Elephas maximus indicus: one gene and its partners. The protein of the gene in region 3 purifies or fractionates together with the protein of the main gene of each other region. This does not show direct contact. Links are inferred from orthologs where the notes say so. Each region holds a gene or a part of one and is shown on either strand. Other genes may lie near its edges. The genes, in order: CHD8, RNMT, KPNA6 and KPNB1.

What was found.
Region 1: the proteins of KPNA6 (region 3) and CHD8 purify together in Homo sapiens (affinity purification with mass spectrometry; 4 studies listed by BioGRID and IntAct, with this or other methods). This does not show direct contact. The link is inferred for Elephas maximus indicus from reciprocal best matches to the Homo sapiens genes KPNA6 and CHD8.
Region 2: the proteins of KPNA6 (region 3) and RNMT purify together in Homo sapiens (co-immunoprecipitation; 3 studies listed by BioGRID and IntAct, counting the BioPlex papers as one, with this or other methods). This does not show direct contact. The link is inferred for Elephas maximus indicus from reciprocal best matches to the Homo sapiens genes KPNA6 and RNMT.
Region 4: the proteins of KPNA6 (region 3) and KPNB1 purify together in Homo sapiens (affinity purification with mass spectrometry; 4 studies listed by BioGRID and IntAct, with this or other methods). This does not show direct contact. The link is inferred for Elephas maximus indicus from reciprocal best matches to the Homo sapiens genes KPNA6 and KPNB1.

The regions. Positions count from the first base shown.
Region 1 is NC_064828.1:31,812,800-31,819,908, forward strand, and holds the start of CHD8 (chromodomain-helicase-DNA-binding protein 8), read right to left. Parts: upstream 3,144-7,109; 5' UTR 3,082-3,143; exon of another isoform or gene 3,037-3,081; intron 1-3,036. UniProt on the Homo sapiens protein: ATP-dependent chromatin-remodeling factor, it slides nucleosomes along DNA; nucleosome sliding requires ATP. Acts as a transcription repressor by remodeling chromatin structure and recruiting histone H1 to target genes.
Region 2 is NC_064829.1:7,451,142-7,458,932, forward strand, and holds the start of RNMT (mRNA cap guanine-N7 methyltransferase), read right to left. Parts: upstream 3,119-7,791; 5' UTR 3,036-3,118; exon of another isoform or gene 2,750-3,035; intron 1-2,749. UniProt on the Homo sapiens protein: Catalytic subunit of the mRNA-capping methyltransferase RNMT:RAMAC complex that methylates the N7 position of the added guanosine to the 5'-cap structure of mRNAs. Binds RNA containing 5'-terminal GpppC.
Region 3 is NC_064821.1:73,063,052-73,070,015, forward strand, and holds the start of KPNA6 (importin subunit alpha-7), read left to right. Parts: upstream 1-3,842; 5' UTR 3,843-6,964. UniProt on the Homo sapiens protein: Functions in nuclear protein import as an adapter protein for nuclear receptor KPNB1. Binds specifically and directly to substrates containing either a simple or bipartite NLS motif.
Region 4 is NC_064837.1:45,774,146-45,782,128, forward strand, and holds the start of KPNB1 (importin subunit beta-1), read right to left. Parts: upstream 3,139-7,983; 5' UTR 2,775-3,138; coding exon 2,735-2,774; intron 2,630-2,734; coding exon 2,571-2,629; intron 38-2,570; coding exon 1-37.

The DNA of each region.
Region 1 (7,109 bases), on a different chromosome or scaffold from region 3:
AAATCCACCAGGCGCTCCTTGGAAACTCTATGGGGCAGTTCTACTCTGTCTTATAGAGTTGCTATGAGTCAGAATCAACTCGATGGCAATGGGTATTTTTGGTTTTATGTAACATACATTAATGGGTAGAAATTGTGTTATTTTTTAAAGTCTCCTGATGTAATCTGAAAACAAGAACTAAGATCTTTTAAAGTTGACCATTTTGTTTCATCAGGCATTAACCAAGAGCCTATAGCGAAGGACAGAAAGTAATGGGCAATAAAAGGACTAAAGAAGTAAGTTACTTACAAAACAATCTAATGAGAAATCTCAGGGACTAACATACTTTGTAATTTAAATCTAAAATACTCCATAACTACAAAGAGGTAAACTTATTTTGTCAATAAAAATATAATGGAAAGTTTAAAGGCAATACGAAATAGTTAGAAAACACAAAAAAAGAATTAAATTATAGCACACAAAACAAAAGTTAGAGGTTAAGAGAGAAAAAAGGTTATTCAGGAAAAAACTTAGTGTTCAGTTAATGGTAAGTAAGCTTTTAAGCAAAAGAAAGTGGCTCATAGAACAGCTTGCTCATATAGAAATGCAAATACTCGGTATCAAAGAAAAACATCTTGGAAATTAGGGTCTCTTTACATTCTCTGAAAGGCCTCAGCAAAACAGAGGCAAAGAAGTGCAATGTCAGTGAATTAACACAAAAAGCAAAGTGAACAGGAACATTTAACAGTAGAGTGAAAGGAGGACCACCAACTTTGTGGGGAAAAAGAATAAAAAATTAAAGAGGAAATATAAGAAATTAAACTGAGTAAGATATGAAACATGATAGTCTGTCAATGAATCAAATGTTAAAGGTAAAATAGTAAATACTAGGTCAGTTACAGCAGTGACCTGCAGATTAAGGACTTACTCAAATCTTACTCAAATGCAAGTCCACAAGTGAAATGACTTCTAGAGGTGGAGGTTGAGGGTCCAGAAAAATGTGTCTTCTGTTAATCCCCTAAGTATTAATTAGGCTCAATGTAAGGTTAGAAGATAGCGTAACTCTTCCAGGCCTGTGGACAAACAGTATCTCCAAAGCACTTAGCGTTCACCTCTGAAAATGTTACAATCCTCTTGCAGATGAGAATATCAAACCTCATTCTTTCAAACAAGCACAGTTCTTGGGACTCTCAAATTAATATTAAATGGTGGGAGATGTGTACAGTGGCTTATTTTAAAGAATGCTCCCCCTCACCATCCTACATTACCTCTCAGAAATTCAACCCTTCACATAAAATGTCAATTTTTTCCTATTTCAACTAAAGCTCTGCAGTGGTGGTTACGATAATGCCAAGATTTCTCCACCCCATCACCCAGCAATGCTGCAGAGAAGGCTGCCCTGGGAAACACAAGATCTGTGTTTCCTGGTAAGTCACGATCAGCTCGGCAGATTCATTTTCTATCTAGTATTTAAATGGATTTTGTTAATTTGAGAAGTGATAAAACCAAAGGCCATATGCACAGGTTAGATTAAAGCATGGAGAAGGTGTGAACTGTACAAGTACCCATATATTGCTCCATCAAATGCCTTATCCCAATCCATTACTCCTTTGCTATTTCAGTTTTAAACCTTCCTCCAAGCCTGTGCCTATCTCTTTTTGGCCACTGTTCTTCATCATGACATGCCACTCTTGCAACATAGATCTTCTTAAATGGCAACTATCGTTTTTCTTATCATAACTTTTTCCCCTCTCAAGGGGTGGGATCATTCCAAAATATTAGGAATGGGGAGCTTCCCATACTCAGGCCCTTCGAGGCTGACTGCAATTTATTCTGAAATCTAGCTGGTGACCAAGGCAGAAGAAATGCATAAGTAGAAGTCATCATCTAAACAACTAGCAGAGGACATTACCCAAATCACAAACTCACCTTCTAGTATCTAAAGTGCCTTGCACCAGATAGGACCTCAGTTGCTGCTAAGGATAACCCAAACAGTCAGTGAGTCTCTGACTGAGTTCACAGGCTCAGAGCAACAAGGAGATTAAACGATCCGCCCATGCTGGTGTGATGAAGGCCTGCAGCAGACACTGATCATGCAACGCCTCTGGCTGTGTACTTGGTGTGCTCCCCTATATCTGCTCTTTAAAAAAAGACATTGAATTCCAAGTCTTTGACTACTGGCTGGCTCACCGTGCCCAATCACTGAAATGAGACTGGATCACTAAATATACGTGTGTGTGTACGTCTTCTTCGAAGACCTTAATCACTTCAGGCCTGCTCCAAAAAAGGCAGAGGCTGCTGCATTTGCACAGCCGCTGCACTGGGCGGAGAAATTCCCTGCGACACTACACACAGGTAAATAAAGAAACTGCATTTGCCCCGAGGCAAGAAGAGGGGTCTTCTGCCTGGGGAGAGTTTACATAATGCACCATAAACCCACTGAACTCTGCATATGTGTCAAAGGAGATGCAAGGCTTGCGCTCCTCTCTTCCCACCATGTCTAAACACACTCCAACAGCTTGCCCTTTTCTCCCAGAAGACCCACAGAAATTGTACCTAAGAATGTACAGCAACCTGCGCACGCTCACCCTATGCTTTCTTACTCACCTCTATTATTTAAAAAAAAGGGGCGGGGGGGGAGAAAAAGAAACCTAACCTCCCACTTCTGAGTCCAAAGTATGGAGTAACCAAACAGAGTCGGGGAGTTTACCCTCCCCTGAAGGAGAAAGGAGAACAAGGAGCTGCCTCAAATCTATACCACGCCCAGTAATGCAATGACAAGCCTTAAAAAAGCAACAGCGGCCCGGGCAGGCCCCTCACGGGTTGGCCGGACTCGGGCCCCGCGGGCCCGCAGGCACCCTCTTCCCCTGGCCTCTCACAAAGAAGAATGGTTCAGTCCAGAGCATCACCCAACACCTGATTCCTCACAAGTGGGGGACAGGCGGGGGGCGGGAGCGGAAGGAGGATAATGAGTTAATGAAATTAATTCTAAGAGCTTTAGCTTTTGCTAGGACTCGTGGAGCAGCACTGAGAAGTCCATGTGAGCGGGAAGCCTACCTGAACAAGTCCTGGTGCTTCTTTTCCAGCCCCGTTTCAACTCACCCTTTCGGAGAACAAGGCGCTTTCCGGCGGAGCATGGCCAGCTCTCGTCTCAACCGAGCTTGCTAGTAGTCCATTCTCCCTCGGCTCCGCCCACCTGCCCTCCCACCCACCAATGGCAAGGCTGAAGCCCGGCCTCTTCCAGCATGGTAGTGTGAGCGCCATCCAGGAAGTCTCCTGTGAGTGGGAGGTCCTAAAAGGCTGGGAAGGGTACGTAGGCAACCACAGATATGCCTGATTGAAAATAAAAATCTGGCGGCAGCTCGTCTCTGATGGCTCAGTTCACAGGCGCTCAGGCCTTTCGGCATCTTTTTTTTTTTTTTTTTTAGACCCCGGCCGTTGGGGGCGCTCTAAACTAAAACATTTAGTTACCTGTGTCTAGGAAGCCATCTTGGCTCAGGCTGGTGCCTTGGGGGCGGGGAGAGGGAAGGAGTGTTTGAGCAATATGAAGTCATTTTCCACGTTTTACCCGACTACTCGGGACCAGCCCCAACATTCTCACCTTTATATAATCAGGATGTAACCTCAATCATTATAGGGGAGAGACTCTGTAATGCCGAATATGGTTAGAAGCAACCGTATCACCCTCCCACTTAACTGCACAAGTGAAGCAATTTTACCATTGAAAGCAAAAACCAATTCTTCAGATGAGACTGGGTGCTCCCAGTTCCTGGAATAATCCTTTATAGACACCTCACTCCTCAGAGCATCAGCACATAACCAACATAGGTTATGTATCTATTCTAAAAAAAAAAAAAACTATTCTAGATGCTTCTAAATCTTATGCTGCTCTTGCAAAATTTCCAGTGTTCTGACTTGACAGTTCCAGTGTTCGGACTTTGACAGCACAGAGGGTTGTGAATCAGTTGGAAATAAAGAGCTGGAAAAATTTTCAATTAAAAAAAAAAAAGAAAAATGGCCTCAAATTCATCAATGAACCACAACTACTTGTGCATGCATACAATGGAAAAGACAGAAGCCTTACACGAAAAACTCTGTGTAGGGACAAGACGGTCCTTTAGGGGGCAGCTCAGCCGTAGAAACATTGGTTGGAGGAAGTAATTTTCTACTGGCTGCTATCGACTCGACGGCGGTAGTTTTTTTTAGCTCTTAAATCGGAGAGGAAATGATTTCATTGTTAGTGAAATTTTCTTGCACTAGAAGCCTTAAACGGGAAACTATGTGTAAGGAGAAGTGGGGGGGACCTAAAGCCCTAACCTCCATTCTGAGTCCAAAGTATGGAGTAACCATAGGGGGCAGCCCGGCCATAGAAGCATTGGCTGGAGGAGGTAATTTTCTACTGGCCGCTTTTAAATCAGAGAGGAAATGATTTCATTGTTAGTGAAATTTTCTTGCACTAGAAGCCTTAAAGGAGAAGGGGGGAAAAAAAAACTAAAGCCCTAACCTCCATTCTGAGTCCAAAGTATGGAGTAACCATAGGGGGCAGCCCGGCCATAGAAGCACTGGCTGGAGGAAGTAATTTTCTACTGGCTGCTTTTAAATCGGAGAGGAAATGATTTCATTGTTAGTGAAATTTTCTTGCACTGAGTGACACTGGTTTTCCAGTATTTCTCAGTCTAAATCTTATTACAACTCACTACAAAAAGTCTTTATTTATTTATTTTTTTTAAGCCTGTAAGTGAAGGGGAAACCCTGGTGGTACAGCAGTTAAGTGCTATGGCTGCTATCGAGAGGCCGGCAGCTCAAATCCACCAGGCGCTCCTTGGAAGTTCTATGGGGCAGTTCTACTACTCTATCCTATAGGGTCGCTATGAGTCGAAATCACTCCATGGCAATGGGTTTGATTTTTTTTTTTTTTTGGTGAGCAAAAGGAGTCCCTCCAGGTCACTAAAAGAATTCTCTCAAAGAATAACACAGTCTCATGGTCATCCGTGGTAGGAGCTTAGAAACCTTAGAGTCATATGACTCAATCTTTTATCAGAGAGGTGATAAGAGTTGACCAAATAAGTTCTCCTGTATATTGAACAAAGTTTGTTGGCCAAATTCTCCCCTGGCTACTGCTGTCGTTATACCAAATTTGAGTTTGGTGTTAGGATTTACCATAGCAATGTGTTTGCAATGAATATATAGATATGATCTTATTTATTAGTAGTCTCTAGAATGAGAGTCTATTATCCTTCTAATGTTATTTGGTACAAAATGGACCCATCATCAGAGAACTAGTTACAGGTATTATAGATAGGGAATGTGCCTGGTCCAATAATTTCAGCTACTTGCAATGATCTTTTCCTGTAACTGGTATGATCTCCTGGTGGCTCAATGGTTAAAGTGATTGACTGCTAACTGAAAGGTCAACAATTTGAAATCACCAGTCACTTGCGGGATCAAGATGTGGCAGTCTGCTTCCATAGAGATTTACAGCCTTGGAAGCCCTATGGGGTCGCTATGAGTCAGAAGGGACTCAATGGCAGTGGGTTTGGTTTTGGGGGGGTTAGTTTGATTTCCAATGGTGCTGGCCTTCAAAAATCAATACTCAGATTATCTCATAATTACCATTCTTCACATGGGGTGGGAGATCCACCTTCTACGATATTTCTTCAATGTCACTTCACTTAACATCAGCAATGATCAGCACAGGCTGTGAAATTGCTTCTGTTTCTCGTGTTTCCCTTACAATTGGTGAAATGCCCAAGTACAGAGGTTATAAGTTGGCTTGGATAATAAAACTGAATATGGGAGTTAGAAGGAAGCTTTATCAATAACTTTGATAAAATTCCTTAGGAGGAGATTATTTACTTATGTTTGGGATACAATAAGAAATGACATGTACATATGAGCAGCTTGGATACATGCATACACACAGTAATGATACAATTGATCAACAACAAAAATGTTAGAAAAATTCATGAGACCTCAGTGTTGTGGAACAGAGTGGGAAATCAAGGCAAGAAGATATAGCAAGTGACCTAGAAGGCCTTGTGCGGAATGAAGCAAAAGCAAATTTTGCTAGGATAGTATTATATGCTTTTGAAAAGGAGAATGGTTGGTAAGTATCCACTTATGCTGACAGCTTGAAAACAGGCAGCCTTACTGTATGCTGCATGGAATGGAGGCAGAGGTCCTAGGAAGAGTGGAAGAGAGAAGGAAAAGAGCAATATGGGACCTAGGGTAAGCAGATAGAAGAGATTGAAACAAAGTTATCAAAGGGATGACTCTAAGGCCTTTTGTTTACTCTGAAGTCTAAAATAAACCTGTTCTAACTCTTTAAGTCAGTCAGTCAAATTCAATGATCATGTAATGAATGTAGCAGTGGGCTCTGTGAAGGAATGGTGGTGGGCGTGGAGATTTTACAAAATTGAAGGAATGACAGGAGCTTACGAACTACATGGGGAGACAGATCCTATACATAAAACAACTGTAAAACATATTTGTAAAACAACATTAATACAAATAAATATAAACAGTATAAGAAAGGTGGAGCCTAAAAGGGATACCATGTCAATAATTGCTTAGAAGTCCCTAAGTCAGTCACAGAAGTCTTCCTGAAGGAAAAAGTTTTAGACTTTGGGTATAATTTTAGCAGAAAGTAGGGTGCGAGCCAGGGCATGGAAGTGGGAGTAAATATATCATGTCCAGTAAGCAGATTAGTTCGGTTGGATTAGGAGGTTTAAATTGTCTAGTAAGAAGTGAGTATGATGCAATAGTAGCAGTCTGTTTGGTGAAAGACACTACGATGTTAGGTCTGGTCCCTGAAACAAAACAAGCAGTGAAAGAATATTTTTTTTAGTTAATGATAAGTGGTCATAGGTCCAGGACCATCTCACTGCTCTCAAAAGTTTTTTAGTCACTCTAAGGGACAGAAACTAGAAATGGGATGGTCTAGAAAAGTACTGAGCATCTTTCAGCAGTTCAGGTAGAAGGAACTGCCTTCTGGAAGATCCCTCAGGAAGTGGCAATTGGACCCCCAAAGGCAAGTAAGTTAAAAAATCAATGAAATTTCTAGGCAGGGGATCTAACACCCACAGCTCACTAAATCCCAGTATTCTCAAGCGATGAAGCAGAACATCCTT
Region 2 (7,791 bases), on a different chromosome or scaffold from region 3:
CCGATAAGTGCCTGGGGGCACCCCACTCCACCAGGAAGCCTCCTGTGCACAGGCACTCAGCTTTCTCACTCCGGGGGTCGGCTCCAGCGCTGTGTGGCCCTGGTCTCCTGCGGCTGGTTCTCTGTCACTGCCACCTCCTTGCCACTGCAGGTTCTCTGCTGCTGCTGGCCCTCTCTCACTGCTGCTCCTCTAGTCATTCACAGTTTCAAAACTGCTTCCACATTTTAGGTATCTGTTAGAGCAATACCCCACTCTCTCAGTACCAGATTCTGTCTTAGTCATCTAGTGCTGCTATAACAGAAGTACCACAGGTGGATGGCTTTAACAAAGAAAAACTTATTTTCTCACAGTCTAGTAGGTTACAAGTCCAAATTTAGGGCATCTGCTCCAGGGGAAGGCTTTCTCTCTCTGTCAGCTCTGGCGGAAGGTCCTTGTCCTCAATCTTCACCTGGTGGAGAGGTTTTTCAGGCACAGGCACCCTGTTTCCAAAGGAACAGGTCTGCTACTGGTGCTACTTTCTTGGTGGTATGAGGTCCCCAATGCTCTGCTTGCTTCCGTTTCCTTTTATCTCTTGAGATAAAAGGTGGTACAGGCCACAACCCAGGGAAACTCCCCTTTTCTTGGGTCAGGGAGATGACCTGAGTAAGAGTGATGTTACAATCCCACCCTAATCCTCTCGACATAAAATTACAATCACAAAATGGATGACAACCACACCATACTGGGAATCATGTCCTAACCAGGTTGATACACACATTTTTGGGGGGACATAATTCAATCTATGACATGTCCTCATTGGGTTTCCAAGGCTGTAATCTATACAGAAGCACCAGCAGAGTAGCTGGTGAGTTTGAACCACTGACCTTTTGGTTAGCAGCCAAGCACTTAACTAGGTCTCCTTGTAAAACAGGAAACCAAAAATTAAACCCATTGCCTCTAAATCAATTCCAACTTGTAGTGACCCCACAGGGTTTCTGAGGCTGTAAATCTCTATGCAAACAGACCATCACATCTTTCTACCCTGGAGCTGCTTGTGGTTTTGAACCCCTGACCTTTGGTTAGCAGTCAATCACTTTAACCACTGCACCACCAGGGCTCCTGTCTGTAAAATGGGCAGGAGAGGTAAATAACTATTGGACAGGAATTGTTACATTGCTCCATTTATTCATTCATTTAACGAATCTGGAAACCCTGGTGGTGTAGTGGTTAAGTGCTACGGCTGCTAACCAAGAGGTCGGCAGTTCAAATTCGCCAGGCGCTCCTTGGAAACTCTATGGGGCAGTCCTACTCTGTCCTATAGGGTCGCTATGAGTCGGAATCAACTCGACGGCAGTGGGTTTGGTTTGGGTTAACAAATTTACTCAACTTCCACTACAGAAGAATTTAATGAAGGACTGTGTGAAAATTATGCATTCAAGAAGTTTATACCCTGCATACCACTATTAAAACATTAGGCTATATTATTCAAAGTAAATGGAAAAGAGGGAAAAAATCAAAAGATTAGTGAGATTCAGCAAATTCAGATTAAATGCACAGAAGCTGAAAGATATAAAGAAGGGAATGAAAAAAACTTTTGAGTAAAGAAAAAGGGTAACAATTTAAAGAAAGTTGCTTAAGGGAATGAGGAAATACGAGTCACTATGACTTGAGTTAGGGAAGGGTTTCAAAGGAAACTGGTTCGCACAAAAGGTTAAACACTCAAATACTAGCCGAAAGGTTGGCAGTTGAAACCCATCCAGAGGCACTTCGGAAGACAGGCCTGGCAATCTGTTACTGAAAGATCTTGACAACCGTCTGGAGCACTGTTCTATTCTGACACACATGGGGTTGCCATGAGTTGGAATCCACTCAATAGTAACCATCAAAAACAATCCACCGTTTGAGGTAGCAAAATATCCAGGTACCAAAATACAGAGAACTTGATCAGAGAAAACAAAAACAAAAAAACACTCCAAAAAATACTATGCAGAACTAACCAACATGATCATCTAGTACAACTGACCATCACATTATCAAGTCCCTATCTTCACTTCTTCCATTTATTTTCTAATAAAGATATACACACAGGTTTTAAATTCAAATGAAGCCATCTGATACACCTTTTTGGCTGAAACTGTATTGCCTAAAATTAGTATTGAGATTTAAGCGCGAACTGTACTTATATTTACAACAATATTGTGCAACTCTATTTCCACAGATTAGATGTCTCGAAAAGATAACCGATTCTGTCAGAACCAATGAGACAGCATTCCAAACGACCGCAGAAATGGATAAGAATGTTTAAAACCGAGCGTCAAATTACAATAATGAACAAACTCCAAACAGGAAGAGAGCTGTCCCTCAGAACTTTCGAGGAGGGAGCTTAGAGTAAACAGTCAACTGACTGGATATGCAATAAACCTCCAAATAGGCGTTTAGATCAGGCTTTCCTTCGAGGTAAGCCACATCTCTCCGTCATTTCAGTTTCTCAGTGAACGTCTGAGCAGGGTACCAGGGCCGCCAGGCTTAAGCTCAAGCAGGAGGTCTACCCAGGATCTGACAGCTTGATGGAGTCAACTCAGGGGGCTCAAGAGCATGCAGTAAAGGAGACAAGGGAATTTTTCAGCAAGTGCACCTCCTTCCATCATTTGCGCAGCCTAATACTCTTAACCTCCTGCTCGGGTTTCGGATCCGCCGCTCAAAAGAAACACTATTTCGAATACAACACTCCGTTTCCTTCGGCTAAGAAAAATAGAATCAGCTTAATAACCATTAAGTCTTTTCCAAATCTTCTTAGCGTAAAATGGGAAGAAAAGGCGCGGCCCTGGTTCCTCCCTCAGTCTTGAGCAGCAACTGCGCCTGTCGGCCTCCACGAGTGGTACCTGTTCTGCTTTGGGCTTGAGGGCACAATAAGCCCCTCGAGACAGGAACTCAACGCACAGGGCTAACGCGAAGCCAGCCCGGGTAGGAACTGAGTGCCCTTCTACCTCCGCCACGGCGCGCAGGGCCTACGACGAGGAGAAAGCAAGGGCCGGAACTTCTGCCGCTACACTCACCAGAACCGGTATCCACAATTCTGTTTCCGGAAACTGCGAACGGCGCGCTGGGTCCTTGTGACGTCATTTCTGCCGCGCGACCGGTCACGTGCCGTCGCTCTGGGCCACAGCGGAACTTCCCGCTGCCTCTGCGCCAGACTACGAGGCCCAGCGTGCCGAGCGCTCGTCGTGGGGGCGTGGCTGCGGACTTCGGTGGTGGAGGGCGAGGAACCGCGGCAGCCGCGGGCACGGCACCCGACCCGCATCGCCAGGCCTCGGCCGGGAGGCGGGAAGGTCAGCGCTGAGGAGTGGCACTCTTGCGGCATCCAAGGAGCTGTCGCCCGGCCTGCGCGGCGGCGCCGCCGTCCGTGGAGGTAGCCTGGGCCCACATCGCAGGGCAGCGGGAGGCGAGGAGGGCCCCTGCGGCGCGCGACCGGGTGGGGGTTGCGGAGGTGGTGGGGATCAGGACAGAGCCTGGCCTACTGCCCGGTGAGCGCCAGCGCCAGCGCGGGGCACCTGCACGTGTGGGCCCCACACGTGCCAGCCGAGAAGGATCACGGGCCTGTTTCTCAGCCTCCTGCTCTGTAACCCATCGCCTTCTGCTCCTCCCAGCTGAAGAAGGGCCTGTGCCCTTGGAGTTGACTTAAAAAGAGCAATGACTGGCAGGTCATTTTCTGCCTCCGTATTTGGGAAGCCGTGCCATTCTTCATTCCAGGGAGGCCGTTATCATGACGGACTCTGGAGAAATGGGTATACCGCTTCTTGTGAAACGCATAAAAGCATATTACTGTGTGTTGGTTAGGATTTCGTGTGGGGTGGTTGCTGGAGGACAACACACTTTGTCTATTCCCTCAGATTTCCCCTGGACAATCAAAGGCATCTTCTGTACTAAAACTCAAAGCTCCACAGTTAAGGACTTTCAACCCTATAATTAGGGTCAAAACTGTCCATGTGATGTAAGACGTTGTTATCGTGTGTGCCTATTAATGTTGTACCCCGGCACCTTTCCACTTTAATGGTGCAAAAACCTGATCAGATTTGCAATCCATCTTGAACTATTTTTAATCAAAATTGATTCCCTTAAAAGCAGCTTTGAAACTGTTAGTAGCCTGCCTTGTAAGTAACCAAAACCCGTTGCATGGAGTCGATGATTCCGACTCATAGCGACCCTATAGGACAGATTAGAACTTCCTTATAGGGTTTCCAAGGAGCGGCTGGTGGATTCGAACTGCCGACCTTTTGCTTAGCAGCGGTAGCTCTTACCACTGCGCTACCAGCTTTGCTTTGGGGGAGGGGCCCTGAGAGCGTTTGGCTGCTAACCAAAAGGTCGGCAGTTGGGATCCACCAGCCGCTCCTTCGAAACCCTATTGGGGCAGTTCTGCTCAGTCCTATAGGTTCGCTGTGAGTCAGGATCGACTAGATGGCAACGGGTTTGGGTTTTTTTTTTTTTTTTTCTTTACTTTGGGAAAGGCAAGATTTGCATTATGTACTTTTCAATCTAGTTACTTCTAAGTTGTGGACGTTAACCCTTCTGAGATTAGCTCAGACTTTGAACCGAGAATGAGGACTGTTTTTATCAAGTAGATGAACCGTTTCAGATGACTGCACCTGTGTTTTTTATTATATGCAGTGAGTCAGGTGGAGAATTAACGTCAGCTCATGAACAACATCAAAGGCCTAATGAATTTACTATTTACATGTCCAGGCATTAAAATTAGGCAATTACATAGCTCATATTTGCTAGTTCTGATGCTAAAATTACTTACTTTTAGGGAAAATGAGTCTAATTTTGACTTAAAAGTTTTTCTCTGTGTTCAAGAAACTCCAAGATGAATTGTTGTTTTGAATGTGATGTATAGACATCAAGTTTGATAGTTTTTTACCAGAGTTTGCTGGAATAATTTAAATTTAGTGGAAAAGAGGAAGAACGCTTGAAAGTAGTAGTAATGGAGGGAGTAAATGGGCCATATAAAATGTCTAAAACCACCAGTTATTTTCACTCATTATTTCCTGAGTAGTCTTTAACTTTCTGGATACGATAATAATAATAGCAACAGCTAGTACCTTATTGGAGTCCTGGTGGTGTAGTGGTTAAGAACTTGGTTGCTGACCAAAAGTTCAAATCCACCAGCTGCTCCTTGGAAACCCTATGGGGCAGTTCTACTCTGTCCTGTAGGGTTTCTGTGAGTTGGAATCAACTCGATGGCAATGGGTTTGGTTTTTTTGTTTTAGTACCTTAGTGCCTTCTATGTGTCAGGTAATCCAGTGAGGTAATTGCTTTGATTATTTTTGTTTTACAGATGAGGATTGAGTAATTTGTACAAGGTAATACAGCTAGTAAGTAGTGGAGCTAGGAGGTGGGCCCAGGTATTCCGTCTCCAGAGACAGGGCTCTGTGCTAATAAGGAGCTGGGGCCTGCCAGAGGCCAGACCACAAACTGGCAGTTGCCTGCCAGAGTGGTTTTTGAGAACACATTTTGGTCCTTCTTAATGCCTGGATTATTATGTTCAAAGAAAATAGCTGGGGAAGGATGTTATGACTGCTAGAATGTGAGCTCCACCAAGGCAGTATCATCGTTCAGTGATTTATCCAAGGTGCCTTGAACTTTGCCTAGCACATAGTAGGTGCTCATTGAGTTACTGTATCTCCAAGAAAGGTTTAAAAAAAAATCCATTTTTTGTTTGTTTTTGTTTTTTAGGACATACTGAATTTATTTCAATTCAGTGCTTTTTTTTTTGTTGTTTGTGTGTGTGCATGTGTGCTTTGAGTGAAAGTTTACAGAGCAAATTAGTTTCTCATTCAAAAATGTATACACAATTTGTTTCATGACATTTGTTGCAATTCCCGCAATGCATCAGCACGCTCTCCCTTTGCACCCCAGGTTCCCCATGTCCATTTGTCAAGTTTTCCTGGCCGTTCCTGCCTTCTGGTCTTCGCTTTTGGGCAAGTGTTGCCCATTTGGTCACATATACTTGATTGATCTACAAAGCACGTTTCTCACGTGTTGTTTCTTTTATGGCCTGTCAAATCTTTGCCTGAGTGTGGACTTCAGGACTGGCTTCTGTTCTGAGTTAGCAGGGTGTTTGAGGGCCATTGTCTTGGGGGTTTCTCCAGTCTCTATGAGATCAATAAGTCTGGTCTTTTTTTGTGAATTTGAGTTTTTTCTATGTTTTCCTCCCACTCTATCTGGGACCCTCTATTGTAATCCCTGTCAGAGTGGTCAGTGGTGGTAGCCGGGCATCATCTAGTTCTTCTGGCCTCAGGCTGGTGGAGGCTGTAGTTCATGTGGCTCATCAGTCCTTTGGACTAATATTTCCCTTGTGTCTTTGGTCTTCTTCATTCTCTTTTGCTCCAGACAAGATGGGACAAAGCGATATATCTTAGATGACTGCTCACAAGCTTTTTTAAGACCCCAGACACTACTTACCAAAGTCAGACATAGAACATTTTCTTCATGAACTATGTTATGCCATTTGACCTAGATGTCCCCTGACACTATGGTCCCCAGTCCTCAGCCCCAGTAACTTGGTGCCTCAGGGTGTTTCTGTGTGTCTAGGAAGCTTCTGTGTCTATGCCTTGGTCAAGTTGTGCTGACTTTTCCTGTATTGTGTATTGTCTTTTCCTTTACCAGTTAGCGCTTGTCTACTATCTAGTTGGTGATTTCCATTGCCCAGCCCTCCCTTCCCTCATGACCATCAAGGATTGTTTATTTCTGTGTGTAAACCTTTTCTTGGGTTTTTATAATAGCAGTCTCATACAATATTTGTCCTTTTGTGGTTGACTTATTTCACTCAGCATAATGCCCTCCAGATTCATGCATGTTGTGGGACGTTTCGTGGATTCATCGTTGTTCATCGTTGCGTAGTATTACATTGTATGTATGTACCATAGTTTGTTTATCCACTCATTTGTTGGTGGGCATTTAGGCTGTTTCCATCTTTTAGCTATTGTAAATGATGCTGCAATGGACATGGGTGTGCATATATGTCTATTCGTGTGACGGCTCATTTCTCTAGGATATATTCCTAGGAGTGGGATTGCTGGATCACATGATATTTCTAGCTTTTTAAAGAAGCACTGTATCATTTTCCATAGCGGTTGTATCATTTTATAGTCCTACCAGCAGTATATGAGAGTTTCAGTCTCCCTATAACCTCACCAGCATTTATTGTTTTCTGAATTTTTGATCAGTGCCATTCTTGCAGAGGTGAAATGATAGTTCATCATGGTTTTGATTTGCATCTATCACAAGCATCTTTTCATGTGTTTATTGGCCACCTGAATGTCCTCTTTGGTGAAGTGTCTGTTCATGTCCTTTGCTTATTTCATGAATGGGTTACTTGTCTTTTTATTGTTGAGTTATTGAAGTTTCCTGTATTTTTTAGGGATTAAACCATTATCAGATATGTTGTTGCCAAAGATTTTTTTCCAGTCTGTAGGTTCTCTTTTTCCTTACTTGGAAAGGTCTTTCGATGAGTGTAAGTATTTAATTTTTAGGAGGTTCCAGTTATTTAGTTTATCTTCTGAAGTTTGTACCTTTTTAATTACGCTTGATAGTCTCTTTATGCCATAAATTAGGGTCCCAAGCATTGTCCCTGTGTTTTCTTTCATGAACTTTATAGTTTTAGGTTTTATATTTAGGTCTTTAATCCATTTTGAGTTAGTTTTTGTGTTTGGTGTGAGGTATGGATCCTGTTTCATTTTTCTGCAAAGGGATATCCAGTTTTACCAACATCATGTCATCATATGAGTACCAAACTACATTATAACTGCCAAA
Region 3 (6,964 bases):
ATTGCAGCTGGCAGGTTTTTGTCAGTAGGTAAGCTCAGGGGTAAGTCCAAGAGAAAAGCTGCTTTTTGAGGGCAGATTTGGGGAGAGGGAAATGAACAAGGTGCTCTATGCTGTAGCCATCCTTCTTTTGCAGGAAGATTAATGATGTTCTTCATCTCCATGAGAAATAACTTTGTTAAACAGAATGGCTTTTTGTATATATACTCTGAATTTTTTCAGGCTTTATGGTGAAATCGAAACCCTGGTGGCGTAGTGGTTAAGTGCTACGGCTTCTAACCAAGGGGTCGGCAGTTCGAATCCGCCAGGCTTTCCTTGGAAACTCCATGGGGCAGTTCTACTCTGTCCTATAGTGTCACTGTGAGTCAGAATTGACTGGACGGCAGTGGGTTTGTTTTTTTGGTATGGTGAGATAAGTGTAGTCTTTTTATTTTTTAGGAGGGAGGTAAGATAATTAGCTTTAATTATGTATGTCTAGTAAAACTTCAGAAGTAACCACTAAGATTAAAATTCGCTGTATAAATTCCAAACTGGTAGAGAGGAAAATGTCATGATGATAAAAATAAACTGGGGGGTGGGGGGGAAGCTTAGAAAAATCTGGACAAGAGTATACAACCAAAAAAAAGGTGGTAGAAACAAGTCAAAACAAGTCACTTGCAGAAATCAATTAATACAGATGATCAGATTGGATTTTTTTTTAATTAAGCAATATGTGGTTTATATGAGACATACCTAAAATATACTCAGGTTGAAATTTTTAAAAATAGAAAAATACCCAGCAAGCAAATATTAACCGAAAGAAAGCTGGGATGTTACCTGTATACACATTTAAGGTTTTTAGATCTTCTTGATGAATTGATTATCATTATAAAATGTCCTTATTCATCCCTGTAGTAAGTATTCTTTGTTAACGTTGACCCTAAAGTGGGTTTCTTGTATACAACATATACAAGTGTCTTCATTTTATTGTTGTTTATTTTTTATTGTTACTATTGTTCTGACAATGAATCCTTTTTAATAGAAGTGTTTACACCATATTAATGTAATTATACATGTGATTGAGTCTGCTCTTTTCCTATTTGTTTTCTATTTATTGCATTTGCTCTTGGTTCTTTTTTCCCTCTTTACCTGCTTTTTTTTGGATTAATTATTTTTTATGTTTTCATTCTATCTCCATTCTCGGCTTATTAACTGTATTTCTTTGCTTTATTTTTTTAATGGTTGTTCTAAGGTTTGCAATATACATCTTTGTTATATCACAGTGTACCTTTAGATAATACACCATTTCACGTGTCTAGTAAGAACCTATGACACACTTCCATTTCCCCTACTCGTCTTTTTTGCTATTGTTGTAGATTTTATTTCTAGGTGTTAATTACACAAATCCCACAATTACATTATTTTTGCTTTAAACAATTATTTCTAATGCAATTTTTTTCCTAAATTTTATTTATTTTGTTGTTGTTGAGAATATACACAGCAAAATGTATACCAATTTTATTGCAGTTATTTTATATTTACTTCCATAGTCACCATTTCTGTTGTTGTTAGGTGCCGGCAAGTCGGTTCCAACTCAAGGCAACCCTGTATACACAGGACTGGGCAATGTTTTGCCATCTTCACAATCATTGGCTATGTTTGAACCTGTTGTTGAAGCCACTGTGTCAGTCCATCTCACATCTCATTGAGGGTCTTCCTCTTTTTCGATGACCCTGTACTTTACCAAGCATGATGTCCTTCCCCAGTAACTGGTCCCTCTCCTGATACATGTCCAAAAGTATGTGCGACAAAGTCTCACCATCCTTGCTTTTAAGGAGCACTCTGGCTGTACTTCTTCCAAGATAGATTTGTTCATTCTTCTGGCAGTCCGTGGTATATTCAATATTCTTCACCAACACTGTAATTCAAAGGCGTCAGTTCTTCATTGGTGTTCCTTATTCATTGTCCAGCTTTCATTTGCATATGAGGCGATTGAAAACACTGTGGCTTGGGTCAGGCACACCTCAGCCCTCAAAGTAACATCTTTGCTTTTCAACACCTGAAAGAGGCCTTTTGCAGCACATTTTCCCAATGCACTATGTCGTTTGATTTCTTGACTGCTGCTTCCATAGACGTTGACTATGGATCAAAGTAAAGTGAAATCCTTGATAACTTGAACATTTTCCCCGTTTATCACCATGTTGCTTATTGGTTCAGTTGTGAGAATTTTTGTTTTCTTTATGTGAAAGAGTAATCCATACTGAAGGCTGTAGTCTTTGATCTTCATCAGTAAGTGCTTCAAGTCCTTTTCACTTTCAGCAAGCCAGGTTGTGTCATCTGCATATTGCAGGTTGATAATTAGTCTTCCTCCAATCCTGATGGCTCTTTCTTCTTCATATAGTCCAGTTTCTCAGGTTCTTTGCTCAACATACAGACTGAATAAGTATGGTGAAAGGATACAACCCTGACACACACCTTTCCTGACTTTCAACCAGCAGTATCCCCTTGTTCTGTCCATAGGTATGCCTTTTGATCTATGTACAGGTTCCACATGAGCACAATTTTTTTTTTAAGTGTTCTGGGATTTTCATTCTTCGCAATTGTCTTAGCCATCTAGTGCTGCTGTAACAAATACTACAAGTGGATGGCTTTAACCAAGAGAAATTTATTTTCTTACAGTCTAGTAGGCTAGAAGTCCAAATTCAGAGCATCAGCTCCAGAGGAAGGCTTTCTTTTTCTGTCATCTCTGGAGGAAGGTCCTTGTCATCCATCTTCCCTTGGTCTAGGAGCATCTCAGCGCAGGAACCTCGGGTCCAAAAGACAAGCTGTGCTCTTGGTGTTGCTTTCTTGGTGGTTCGAGGTTCCCTGTATCTCTGCTCGCTTCTCTCTTTTATATGTTAAGAGATCCCCTCAAGACAAAATCCAATCTTGTAGATTGAGTCCTGCCTCACTAACACAATTGCCACCATCCTCCCTCGTTTACACACATTTTGGGGGGAACATAATTCAATCCATGACAGCAATGTTATCCATAATTTGTTATGATCCACACAGTGGAATGCCTTTGCATAGTCAGTAAAACAGAAGTAAACATCTTTCTTGTATTCTCTTCTTTCATCCAAGATCCATCTGCCATCAGCAATGATATCCCTTGTTTCACATCCTTTTCTGAGTCCGGCTTGAATTTTTGGCAGTTCCCTGTTGATGTACTGCTGCAAATGCTTTTGAATTATCTTCAGCAAAATTTTACTTGCATGTGGTATTAGTGATACCGTTCAGTAATTTCTGCATTCTGTTGGATCACCTTTCTTTGGAATAGGCACAAATATGGATCTCTTCCAGTCAGTTGGCTAGGTAGCTGCTTTCCAAATTTCTTGGCATAGACGAGTGAGCACTTCCAGCATCGCATCCATTTGTTGAGACGTCTCATGTGGTATTCCATGAATTCCTGCAGCCTTGTTTTTCGCCAAGGCCTTCAATGCAACTTGAACTTCTTCCTTCAGTACCGTCGGTTATTGATCATATGCTACCTCCTGAAATGGTTGAATGTTGACCAGTTCTTTTCTGTACAGTGACTGTGTAGTCCTTCCATCTTCTTTTGACCCTTCCTGTATCGTTTGGTGTTTTGCCTATAGAATCCTTCAATATTTAAACTTGAGCTTGAAATTTTTCTTTGTTTCTTTCAGCTTGAGACATGCCAAGCATTTTCTTCCCTTTTGGTTTTCTAACTCTGAGTCTTTGCACATTTCATTAGAATACTTTGTCTTCTTGAGCTCCCCTTTGAAATTTTCTGTTCATCTCTTTTACTTCATCATTTCTTCTGTTCACTTTAGCTAGTCTGCATTCAAGAGCAAGTTTCAGAGTCTCTACTGACAAATAATTTGTTCTTTTTTTTTTCCTTTTCTCTCTTTTTAATGACCCTTTGCTTTCTTTATGTATGATGTCTGTGATGGTTAAGGTTGTGTGGCAAGTTGACTGGGCCATGATTCTCAGTGGTTTGGCCGTTATATAATGACGTAATCACTTCCACGATGAGATCTGCTGTGAACTGACCATCAGTTGAAAGGGAGCTTCCTTGGTGTGGCTGCATCCAATATATATGGACTTCCTGGCAAAGCTTGCTAGCTTTTGCTCACTCTGGATCCTGCCTCTGGCTCATCATCATCTGACCACTGGTTCTTAGTACTTGAGCCAACAGCCTGCCTTCTGACCTGCCAATCTTGGGTTCATCAGCCCCTGTAGCTACCTCCATTAGAAGAAGCCTCCAGCCTCACACCTGACCCACTGACTTGGGACTTAACTAGCCTCTACAACCCTGTGAGACATTTCCTTGATATAAATCTCTCTGTTTCTACATGTATATGTATTTGTGTGTGTGTGTGTATATATATATGTATGTATATATCTACGCTTCACTGGTTTTGCTTCTCTAGAGAAGCCACCCTAAGACAATGTCCTTAATGTCATCCCACAACTTGTCTGGCCTTCAGTCATTTGTATTCAGTGAGTCAAATCTGTTCTTGAGATAGTCTCTAAATTCAGGTGAGATACACTCAAGGTTGTACTTTGCCTCTGGTAGACTTTTTTTATTAGTCATGAACTTCAACTTGAACATACAAATGATTGTCCTGCAGTCAGCCCCTGGGCAGTCCGCCCTTGGCCCCAGGGACCCAGTTGAGTACCTGCAACTTTTCAGAGGGTCCTGGAAGTGAAGACTGTTACCATAAATAATGTTGTTAGGTAATGTCCAGTCAGTTCCGACTCCTAGCAACCCTGGGCACAACAGAACAAAACACTGCCTAGTCCTGCACCATCCTCACAATCGTTATGCTTGAGCCCATTGTTGCAGCCACTTTGTCACTCTGTCTTTTTGAAGGTCTTCCTCTTTTTCACTGACCCTCTGTTTTACCAAGCATGATGTCCTTCTCTAGGGACTGATCCCTCCTGATAATATGTCCAAAGTATGTGAGACATAGCCTTGCCATCCTTGCTACTAAGGAGTATTCTGGTTGTACTTCTTCCAAGACAGATATGTTCATTCTTCTGGCAGTCCATGGCATATTCAATATTCTTCACCAGCACCACAATTCAAAGGCGTCAGTTCTTCAGTCTTCCTGATGCATCATCCAGCTTTCGAATGTGTGTGAGGTGATTGAAAACACCATGGCTTGGGGCAGATGCACCTTAATGTTCATAAATAATGCTAAGATATCATTAACATTTTCATTGTGTCTGACATTTGCACTGACACTGCAAAACAGTGGTGGGCAAAACTGCTGATGCCTTAGCACTTACCAAGGCAGTGACATCAGACTGTACCGGCCACTGGCCTTGATGATATTGAGCTTCTCCATCGTCTCTTTCCACAGATGTAGTCGATTTGATTTCCTGTTTATTCCATCCGAGGAGGTCCATGTGTGTAGTCACCATTTATGTTGTTGGAAAAAGGTATTTGCAATGAATAAGTCATTGGTCTTGCAAAATTCTGTCATATGATCTTCTGTATTGTTTCTGTCACCAAGGCCATATTTTCAAACTATCAATCCTTCTTTATTTTCAGTTTTCACATTCCAATCACCGATCATTATCAATGCTTCTTGATTGCATGTTTGATCAGTTTCAGACTACAGAAGTTAGTAAAAATCTTGTTTCTTCATCTTTGGTGTTAGTGGTTGGTGCATAAATTTGAATAACAGTTGTATTAACTGGTCTTCCTTGTAGGCATATGGATATTATCCTATCATTGACAGTGTTGTACTTCAGGACAGATCTCGAAATGCTCTTTTTGACCATGAATATGATGCTTTTCGTCTTCAGTTTGTCATTCCTGAAATAGCAGACCAGGATTGTCTGATTCGATACGGTCAGTACCAGTCCATTTCAGCTCAGGGTATCGGTCTACAAGCAGTCCATTTCATTGTTGGTAACTTCCAATTTTCCTTGATTCTTACTTCATACGTTCCATGTTCCGATTATTAGTGGGTATTTGCAGCTGTTTCTGATCATTTAGAGTCATGTCACATCAGCAAATGAAGGTCCTGAAGCTTTACTCCATCCACATCATTAAGGTTGACTCTACTTTGAGGAGGCAGCTCTTCACCAGTTGTTTTTTGAGTGTCTTCCAACCTGAGAGGCTAATCTTTGGCACTATATCAGACAGTGTTCTGCTGGTATTTATAAAGTTTTCACCAGCCAGTTCTTTCAGAAATAGATTGCCAGGTCCTCCTTCCCAGTCTGTCTTAATATGGAAGCTCTACTTAAACCTGTCCGCCATGGATGACCCTGGTGGTATTTGAAATACCAGCATCACAGCAATGCACAAGCCACCACACACTATGACAGACCAACAGACAGGTGGTTTTACTTTCAGCCAGTGCAGAAATAAATAAATAAGCCTTCCTTAGTAAAATGCGTGGTAGCACACAGTGGGAACTAAAAAAAAAGAGGATAATAATAAATAAGAAAGGAAAAAAAAACTTATTTGAAGATGATGTAATTCAAGCATTCAGTGTTTTGGAATTAATAAGAATTTAGCATGGTGTCTGGATATGAGATAAAGAGCAATTCTTTCCCCCCATGGCTCCCCCCAAAAAAAACCTAAGAATAAATCTAAAAGATAGAGAAGATCTTTCATGGAGAAAATTCTATGTCTTTATTGAAAGGTTTTGTTGTTTTTTTTTTTAATTTAATGGGAGAGACATTCATATTGTGTAAGGGCAGTTCCAATAGGATTTTCCAAGGGATTGACAATCTGATTGTAGATTTCAAAGGCTCAGGAAAAAACTAAACCACTCCCTCCTGAAGATTAAGATAGGAGGACTTGTACTTCCAGATGAGGAAAATTTTTTAAAAAGTATATTAATCAAGATAATACGATATTGGTGCAGGAAAGAAATTGACCAATGGAAGAGAGGATAAAATTAGAATTGAGCATATGGGGAAATTTGCTTCATGACAAGAGTGGCATAGTGAGAGGAGGGTATTAGGT
Region 4 (7,983 bases), on a different chromosome or scaffold from region 3:
TTGCCAGCACTCTGGACAGTTCCACAAGGAAAGTGGGCTGTTAAGAGATGCATATACAAATAAAAACATCTCGAGAATTTCACCAACTGAGCATAGCTTATGAGCACCACACCACTGAGAAAAGTTGTTTTTTTTTTTTTTTGAGCAAATCATAAATGTCTCAGATAATTCCCCAAAATGTACCTATTAAAGTCACCCATCTTCTCATGAAATGTCAAACAGTACTTACAAGAAGTTGTAGATTTTCCTAGCAAACCTTTCTTAATGGCCAAATCTTTACATTAAATCTCCAGAACTAAATCAAATCTGGCAATCTGGTAGCCAACGGATTCTTCCACGTCAATTGAAATATCCCAAACATCTACACCAGTGCCTGATAGTCAATAAATATTTGTTGAATGAATGAATACGTTGTAACAGGGTAGAAAGTAAAACTATTTTCAAATATTCAGGCCAGCTCTGCTGACTGGGCCAGGTCACTTAGTATCCTCAGTCAGAAAAAAACCTCAGTCAGAAAAAGATACCAAGGGTAGCTTTTGGACTAGTGAAAGTAAATCTTGAACAAGAAAGAGAAATACTTATCAATAGTCCTAAAACAGACTTAGAAGCCTATCCTCTATATTTTAGTTACAGTGCGGATAAGGCTACATCTGCGAAAGGGGAACAGTGGAAAAAGCAGATTTATAAGGAAGAATTCATAAATATTTAGAAGGTTAAGTGGAAAAGATAAGAAAAGTCAAGGCAAGTTGTTCCAAGGTAACTGATTTTGTATTTAACAGTTAACAGATTAAATAAAAGCTGCTTTACATTTTGGACTTAAGTTGTGCACTAAACATAGTGAAGCCCTGAAAGACACACTCGATCTTTTGTAATGCACAGGTCCCCTAGGAAAAGCTACCCCCTTTGTTTAAAAATTTTAACATACACGCTCCCTTCCCCTCCAAAAAAGCAGCTCTGTCCAAATGGAAAAGTTTACAGAAAAAGCCAAAAGCAGACAGTTTCTTCCACTATCAAGTACTGCCTGGCACCTGAAATTCTAGTCACGGCAGAAGATATTCTTAAGTCTTACTAATGTTGGACAATGGGATAGAAAATGCTACTGGTGAAGAATGAGCTTCCTGGATCAAGTAGTCACGTGAGACTATGTTGGCATCTCCTGTCTGGAGGGTAGATGAGAGGGTAGAGGGGGTCAGATGCTGGCCGAATGGACACGAAGAGAGACAGTGGGGGGAAGGAGTGTGCTGTCTCATTAGGGGGAGAGCAATTAGGACTATATAGCAAGGTGTATTTAAATTCTCATATTAGAGACTGACTTGATTTGTAAACTTTCACTTACAGCACAATTAATAAAAAAAAGTCTTACTAAAATGTTGTACCACTAAAAAATATTTTTAAAATAAGATAAAAAGCAGAAACAGGAATATATTCCTATGGAATGTTATCAGTCTATACTAATAGAAAAAACCTTTCCTGGGGAAAGATTAAAAAAAAAGAAAAAAACATAAGAGTAAAAAAATAAAAACCAGCAATTATAAGAACAAAATACATCATCCACTGGCAGTCTGCACAAAATAAGCCTTGTCTTTTTTTTTTTTGCTTACATTATTTTGCCTAGAAAACTCAAAGGAACACATTTTGTTACAGTGTTACCAACACATTGCTTATTACCTTTAAAAGATGTCAAGGATCAGCCACCCTTCCCTATGCTCCCTCCCATTCCCACAACAGGAGAGGAAAACCAGAGAAACGTTAACTGGCACATGGGCTGTTGAAATCATTTTTATACAGCAGGCCAGACTTTATACTCTAGTGGGCTTATCTTCATTTTTTCTGTGCCTTTTAAATTTGAAAACATGAAAAACGAGGAACTTTCCTCTGTGATTTCATCAGGAAATAGGCCCGATCTTCTCAAAGATAAGCTCCAGCCTGTTGTCTGGGTGCAAATCCCTACTGATTAAGTCTCTGCTCATCAATGAAAAAAAAAAAAAAAAAAAAACCCAGGAGAGGAAGAACCGAGTATACTAGGAAGAAATATTAACGGGAATGGGTTAAGAGGCATTCGGGTGCCAGCCCTAGCCATGAGCACAGACCAAGGGAGCTAGGAAAAGGCAGAGCTCTGGGAAGTAAGTGGAGAGAACCCCAGAGGCCACGGGACAGGAAAGAGAAGCCAGCACAGGTCCGAACAGGGCTGGCAGCTGGGCTCGGAGCTTCCACATGGCCCCTAGGCCCGGCTCCCCCACCCCCACCCTTGCTGAACACGCAGCGCCGCGCAACCTAACTTCCCTTTCCTCCCTCTTTCTCCCTCCCGCCGCACCGCCGCCCTCAGGCCGCGCGGCGATTGGGCGGCAGTCACCCCGGCGCGCTGCGCCATTGGCCAGTCGCCGGGCCCTGGGGCGGGACACACCCACCGGCTTCCCGATGGCGGGGTTAGGTTGGACCGGGGTGCGGGGGGAGGGGGACGGGATGGGGCGGGGTAGGTTCCCGAGGCCTGGGCCTCCGGGAGGGCGGGAAGGCCCCGGACGCAGGAGATGGGAAGACGGCGGGATGGGGGAGAGCAGGGTGGCACGCACCAGGTTCTCCACGGCCGCACGCTCCAGGAACTTCTGCGCCGCTTCCAGTTCCAGGCGATCTAGGGGGAAGGAAAGTGGGAAAGGGGACAGGGTCAGAAGGGCAGGGCCTCCCCCTCCCCCACTTCAAGTCGCCTCGGCCCGACCCCCCGGCCCCCGCGTCCTACCGGGAGATACGGTCTTCTCGAGGATAGTGATCAGCTCCATCGCGAAGGTGGTGGCGCCGACTCCTCCTAAGACGACGGTCCGGCCTCTCGGGCGGCGACTCTAACTGGGGTTGGGGGTTGGGGGTCGGGTGGGAAGGGAGGGTGGGGTGGGGGGCGGGGGTCACCACAAGCCCATTCACCGGCTCCCACTTGCTAGTCACTCAGGCCCCCTTTCCTTCCTTCCTTCTTTCCTTCCTTCCTCCCTTCTAATGTGCGGCTCGCGGCGACGGCAGCTGCTCTTCTGGCGGTGGGGGAGGAACCCCGGGGGCAGCTCAGACCGCGGCTGGTGCTCGGGTGGCGGAGGGAGAAAGAAGGAAGGGAGGCAGTAAGTGAACGGCGGCTCGCAGGGAGGGAGAGGGAGGGAGAGAGGGAGGCGGAGGGATATTCGGGCCGGACCTCTCCGCCGCGGCACCGCGCTCCACGTCGATTGGCTGCCGCTGTGGCCACGCGGAATCCCCAATTGGCCGGGCGGTTAGCGTTGAAGGGCCGCCTTGCGCCGATTCGCCCGCTGGTTTCAAGGACCGGGTTGGCTGGGCGGGCAGCGGAATGGGGCATGCGGATTGGCCGAGGGAAGGGAGGTTGGGGTGGGGCAGGTCTGAGCCGGCTGCTGATTGGATTGGCCTGGCAAAGGCCGTGGGCTCAGACTGGCTGACCGCTAGGAGGAGGGTGGGTCAAAGGCAAGACTCCGAGCCTGGGTGATTGGCTAGGACACTAGACGTTGATAGACTGGGGTGCTCGGGAGAACTGGAGAGAGGTGTTCGGGGTCGACTCCGCGGAAAGGCGGGAGGCCCCTGGCCGCTTTAGGGGCCTAGCGCGGGGCACGATGGGACGCCCCCGGGAAGGGGCGGAGCAGTGTTGGGGCCGCTTCGGGCTGCGGTTTTGGAAAGCGCCGTCACTCCGAGGGGCGTGTTGAGTTAGGACTTGGCGGGTCTGAGCCTGGGAGGGAGACCGTTAAAACCCTGTACCGCGTCCACAGGAAGCTGCTTTAATAACTAGGCCTATTTAGTACCAGGCTTTCTGTTGGGGAGGATTTTAAGAGACCATTTGGTTCAATTTCCAATTTGCAATTGTAGAAACTGAGGACCAGAGAGGGCACGGAACTTGTCCAAGGTCACACAGCCCGTTAATGGCCTAGTCCGGACTGCTTTCTAGCACTCCCAACTGCCCTTGGCCCTGCCGGCAACATCCTCCCCAAGAAGGTGAATGCTAATACGTCCAGTTAGAAGGCCTGACTCCAATAGATGTGGGCACTTGGATTCTTCTTAGAACCCAGTCTGAATAGGAATGTATATCATTCTCCAAAGGTGTCCCAATAAAGGCACAACCGTGAACCAGAAGGAATGTGTGAACAGGCATAAAGGATTGTGGTTTTTAGCCTTTTTTAGTTAGGACATTGGGAGAAACTAATGAAAGTCTTTCCTTAGCAAAATGCACAGAAAGAAACTGCGTGCGGTTTCCTGACTTCACCTCCCATTGATAATGGGCCCCAAGTTAACAGATTGCTCAGCTTTTGCATTTTTCACCGTATTGCTGATAGTGTTAACTGTAGCTGTTTGGAGTTTGTGAGGTATTTGCTCTCTACTCTAGCCTTTTTTTTCTAGCCACACTGGGAAAACCTAGGCAGAAGTCTTATTCATGCTGAGGGGTCCCAACCAAGTATTAGGAAAGCTTGGCCAGCTGCCTTTGATCCTTAAAAGAGGAAGAAGAAATTTTTCTGTGCTAGATATACCTTTGCAATCCTGAAGCTGGAAATGAGGCATACTGTAGCTAGCTGATTCCTATGGTTTAATAGTCCACCTACTTCCAACCTTTTACTTTATTAACTAAGAAAGAACTGGCCTGCGTAACTTCATTAGAAATCAATGAAGGTTAAGTGAGATGACATCCATGGAAATCTTTGAATTGTCTTTACGTGAATTACACTATGAAGAAGCCTGGGTGCTCCAGTGGTTAAGCACTTGGCTGCTAACTGAAAGGTCCTTGAGTTCGAGCCCACCAGCCGCTCCAGGGGAGAAAGATGGGGCAGTCTGCTTCTGTAAAGATTACAGCTTAAGAAACCCAACGGGACAATTCTACCCTGTCCTATAGGGTCGCCATGAGTCGAAATCGACTCTTTGGCAATGGGTTTTTGGGGTTACACTATGAATGAGCTATAATTTTGTTTCACTGCAAGCCAATTTTCTTCAGCTCTCCAGCAGTTTTCTGTGCCAGCTCCTCTGCTCAACATTAGTCATGATAATACTACTGAGGGCACATTGATTTTTAAAGTTGTTGCTAGTTGCTGTCCAGTCGATTTTGGCTCATAGCGACCCCATATTAGCTTCTCAGTTACCTTGTCTAAACATTAAAAGAATACCTTAAAGGAATGCAGAGATTAAATTAAATAATGCAGCCTGAAAAACTCAAGCACATAGTGGGCACTTCATTATGGATTACTTCTTGTGGAGGGGGAGATGGTATCCCAGGGAGGGGCAGTCACAGAGGGCTTTCTCGAGGACAGGATAATACCCCCTTACCTTGAAATAAGTGGTATGTTTTGATTAGGAGAAAGGCTTCTACTACACTATAGCAACAGTTATTAGGTAATAGATAAGGGACTGAACTAGGGCCCCTGCCCACTGCTGTCAAGTCGATTGCAGCTCATAGTCTAACCCATTGGGTTTCTAAGACAGTAAACCTCTACCAAAACAGACTGCCCCATTTGTCTCCCTTGGAGCCGCTGGTGGTTTCTAACTGCTGACCTTTTGGTTAGCAGTCAATCACCTTAACCACTGCACCACCAGGGCTCCTCACAAACTAAGGCCAGGAGGAACAATTAGAGAAATGTTGAATCAATAGAATTGATGGGGTTTAGTGGTTGATTAGATACAGAGGAAAGGGAAGGATGAAAGGTGAGTCCTAGATCTCCAGCTTGAATGTTTGGGAGAGTGGATAATTGTAAAAACATTTATTGAAGCTAGGTTGGTGCAGGAGGTTGGGGTCAAGGTGGGGGAGATGGTTGAAGAATTCAGTTTTAGAAATAGTTTGTCTTTATGGTCACAGAGGGACATTCAAGGGAAACTGTATTGGGATTTGGAAGAAAGGCAGGTGCTTGGGGAAGAAAAAATAAGTCAGTTGATCAGAAATGGTCATTAAGACCCTGACATCCTATAAAGAGAGAGAGAAAAGCAAAATATTTAAGAGAGGACATGGAGTTCCAAACTAGTGGGTAATACGAATAAGAGGGAGAAAGAACAGCAAGAGGTAGGAAAACAAATAGAAGAGTGCATTATTTTTAGTTGTGCTAGTCTGAATAGGGTCACTATGAGTCGGAATCGACTCAACGGCACTGGGTCTGGGTAGTCTGAATTACCAGTAACCAGTAGCCGTTGAGTCAATTCCAACTCACGGTGACCCCCCTGTGTGCTAGAGTAGAACTGTGCTCCATAAGGTTTTCAATAGCCAATATTTCAGAATTAGATCACCAGGCCTTTCTTCCAAGGCACCATTAGGTAGACTCAAACCACCAACATTTTAGGTAGCAGCTGAGCATGTTAACTGTTGGAACCACCCAAAGATGTCCATGTGCTAATCCCTGGAACCTGGGAATATGTTAATCTACATGGCAAATGGGACTTTGCAGATGTGATTGAGTCAAGCATCTCGGGATAGTAAAATTATCACTTATTATCCTGGTGGACCCAATGTCCTCATAAAAGAGAGTCCGAGTCAGAGAAGGCTCTGTGATGACAGAAGCCGAGGTCAGGGTGAGGCGTGGCCAAGGAATGCAGGTAACCTCTAAAAATAGGGAAAGGCAAGGAGTAGATTCTCCCATAAAGCCTCCAGAAGGAACTCAGCCCTACCTATCCATATTAAACTTCTGACCTCCGGAACTACAAGTTGGTGTTGCTTTAAGTCGCTAAAGTTATGGTAAACTATTACAACAGCGATAGAAAACTAATACCAAAACCAAAAAAACAAACCCATTGCCGTCAAGTCAGTTCTGACTCATAGCGACCCTACAGGACAGAGTAGAACTGCCCCATAGGATTTCCATAGGTGGATTTGAACTGCTGACCTTTTGGTTCACAGCCAATCTCTTAACCAGTGCGCCACCAGGGTAAACTAATACAGTAGTTAACAATTAAAAACAACTGAAATATCTAACAATGGTGGATTCATTAAATAAATTATGGTACATTCTTATGATCAACTGTTGTAATTCTAGTTAGCAGTTAAAAATTATGCTGTCAAAGGTCATTTAATCAAGTATAAAATGTTCACACTCTTGTTTAGAAAACATCATAATATTGTAGATTCATATGTTAAAAATTCATCAACATTTTACACACTTGGCTAGGTATAAGCTAAACCCATTGCCGTTAATTTGATTCCAACACATAGTGATCCTACCCCCCCCCCAAAAAAAGCCCTTTGCCTTCGAGTCGATTCCAACTCATAGCGACCCTATATAGCACAGAGTAAAACTGCCCCATAGGATTTTCAAGGCTGTAAATCTTTAAGGAAGCAGACAGCTACATCTTCCATGGAGTGGCTGGTGGGTATATGAACAACCAACATTTCAGTTAGTAGCCGAATGCTTTAACCACTGTGCCACCAGGGCTCCTTAGGTATAAAAAAAAAAAAAAAAATTTTTTTTTTATACCAACCCAATAAAAATTCTTGCAGAGTATACATAGAGAGTGCCTGTTTTTTGTTTTTAAATTAGCTACTTGATTTAAAAAAAAATCATTTGATGTTTTAACAAAAGTCTTAGCCGAAATACAGAGGTAATTTAAAATTAAAGGTTAATTCTTAGTTAGTGTTAATTTTCTTCCTCTCCTTTTTTTAATTTAATTTAATTTAATTTTTTTTGTGCTTCAGGTAAAAGTTTACAGAGCAAAGTAGTTTCTCATTAAACAATACACATATTGTTTTGTGACACTGGTTGCCAACACTGTGATGTGTCAACATTCGCCCCTTCACCCTGGGTTCCCTGCTTCCATTCATCCAGTTTTCATGACCCTTCCTGCTTTCTCATCTTTGCTTTTGGGCTGGTGTGCCCATTAGTCTCATATACATGATTGAACTACAAAGCACATTCCTACGTGTGTTATTGTTTTTCCTATAGACCTGTCTAGCCTTTGGCTGAAGGGTGAACCTCAGGGGTGACTTCAGTACTGAGTTGAAAGGGCGTCCGGTGCCATACTCTTAGGGGAGAGTATCCTATT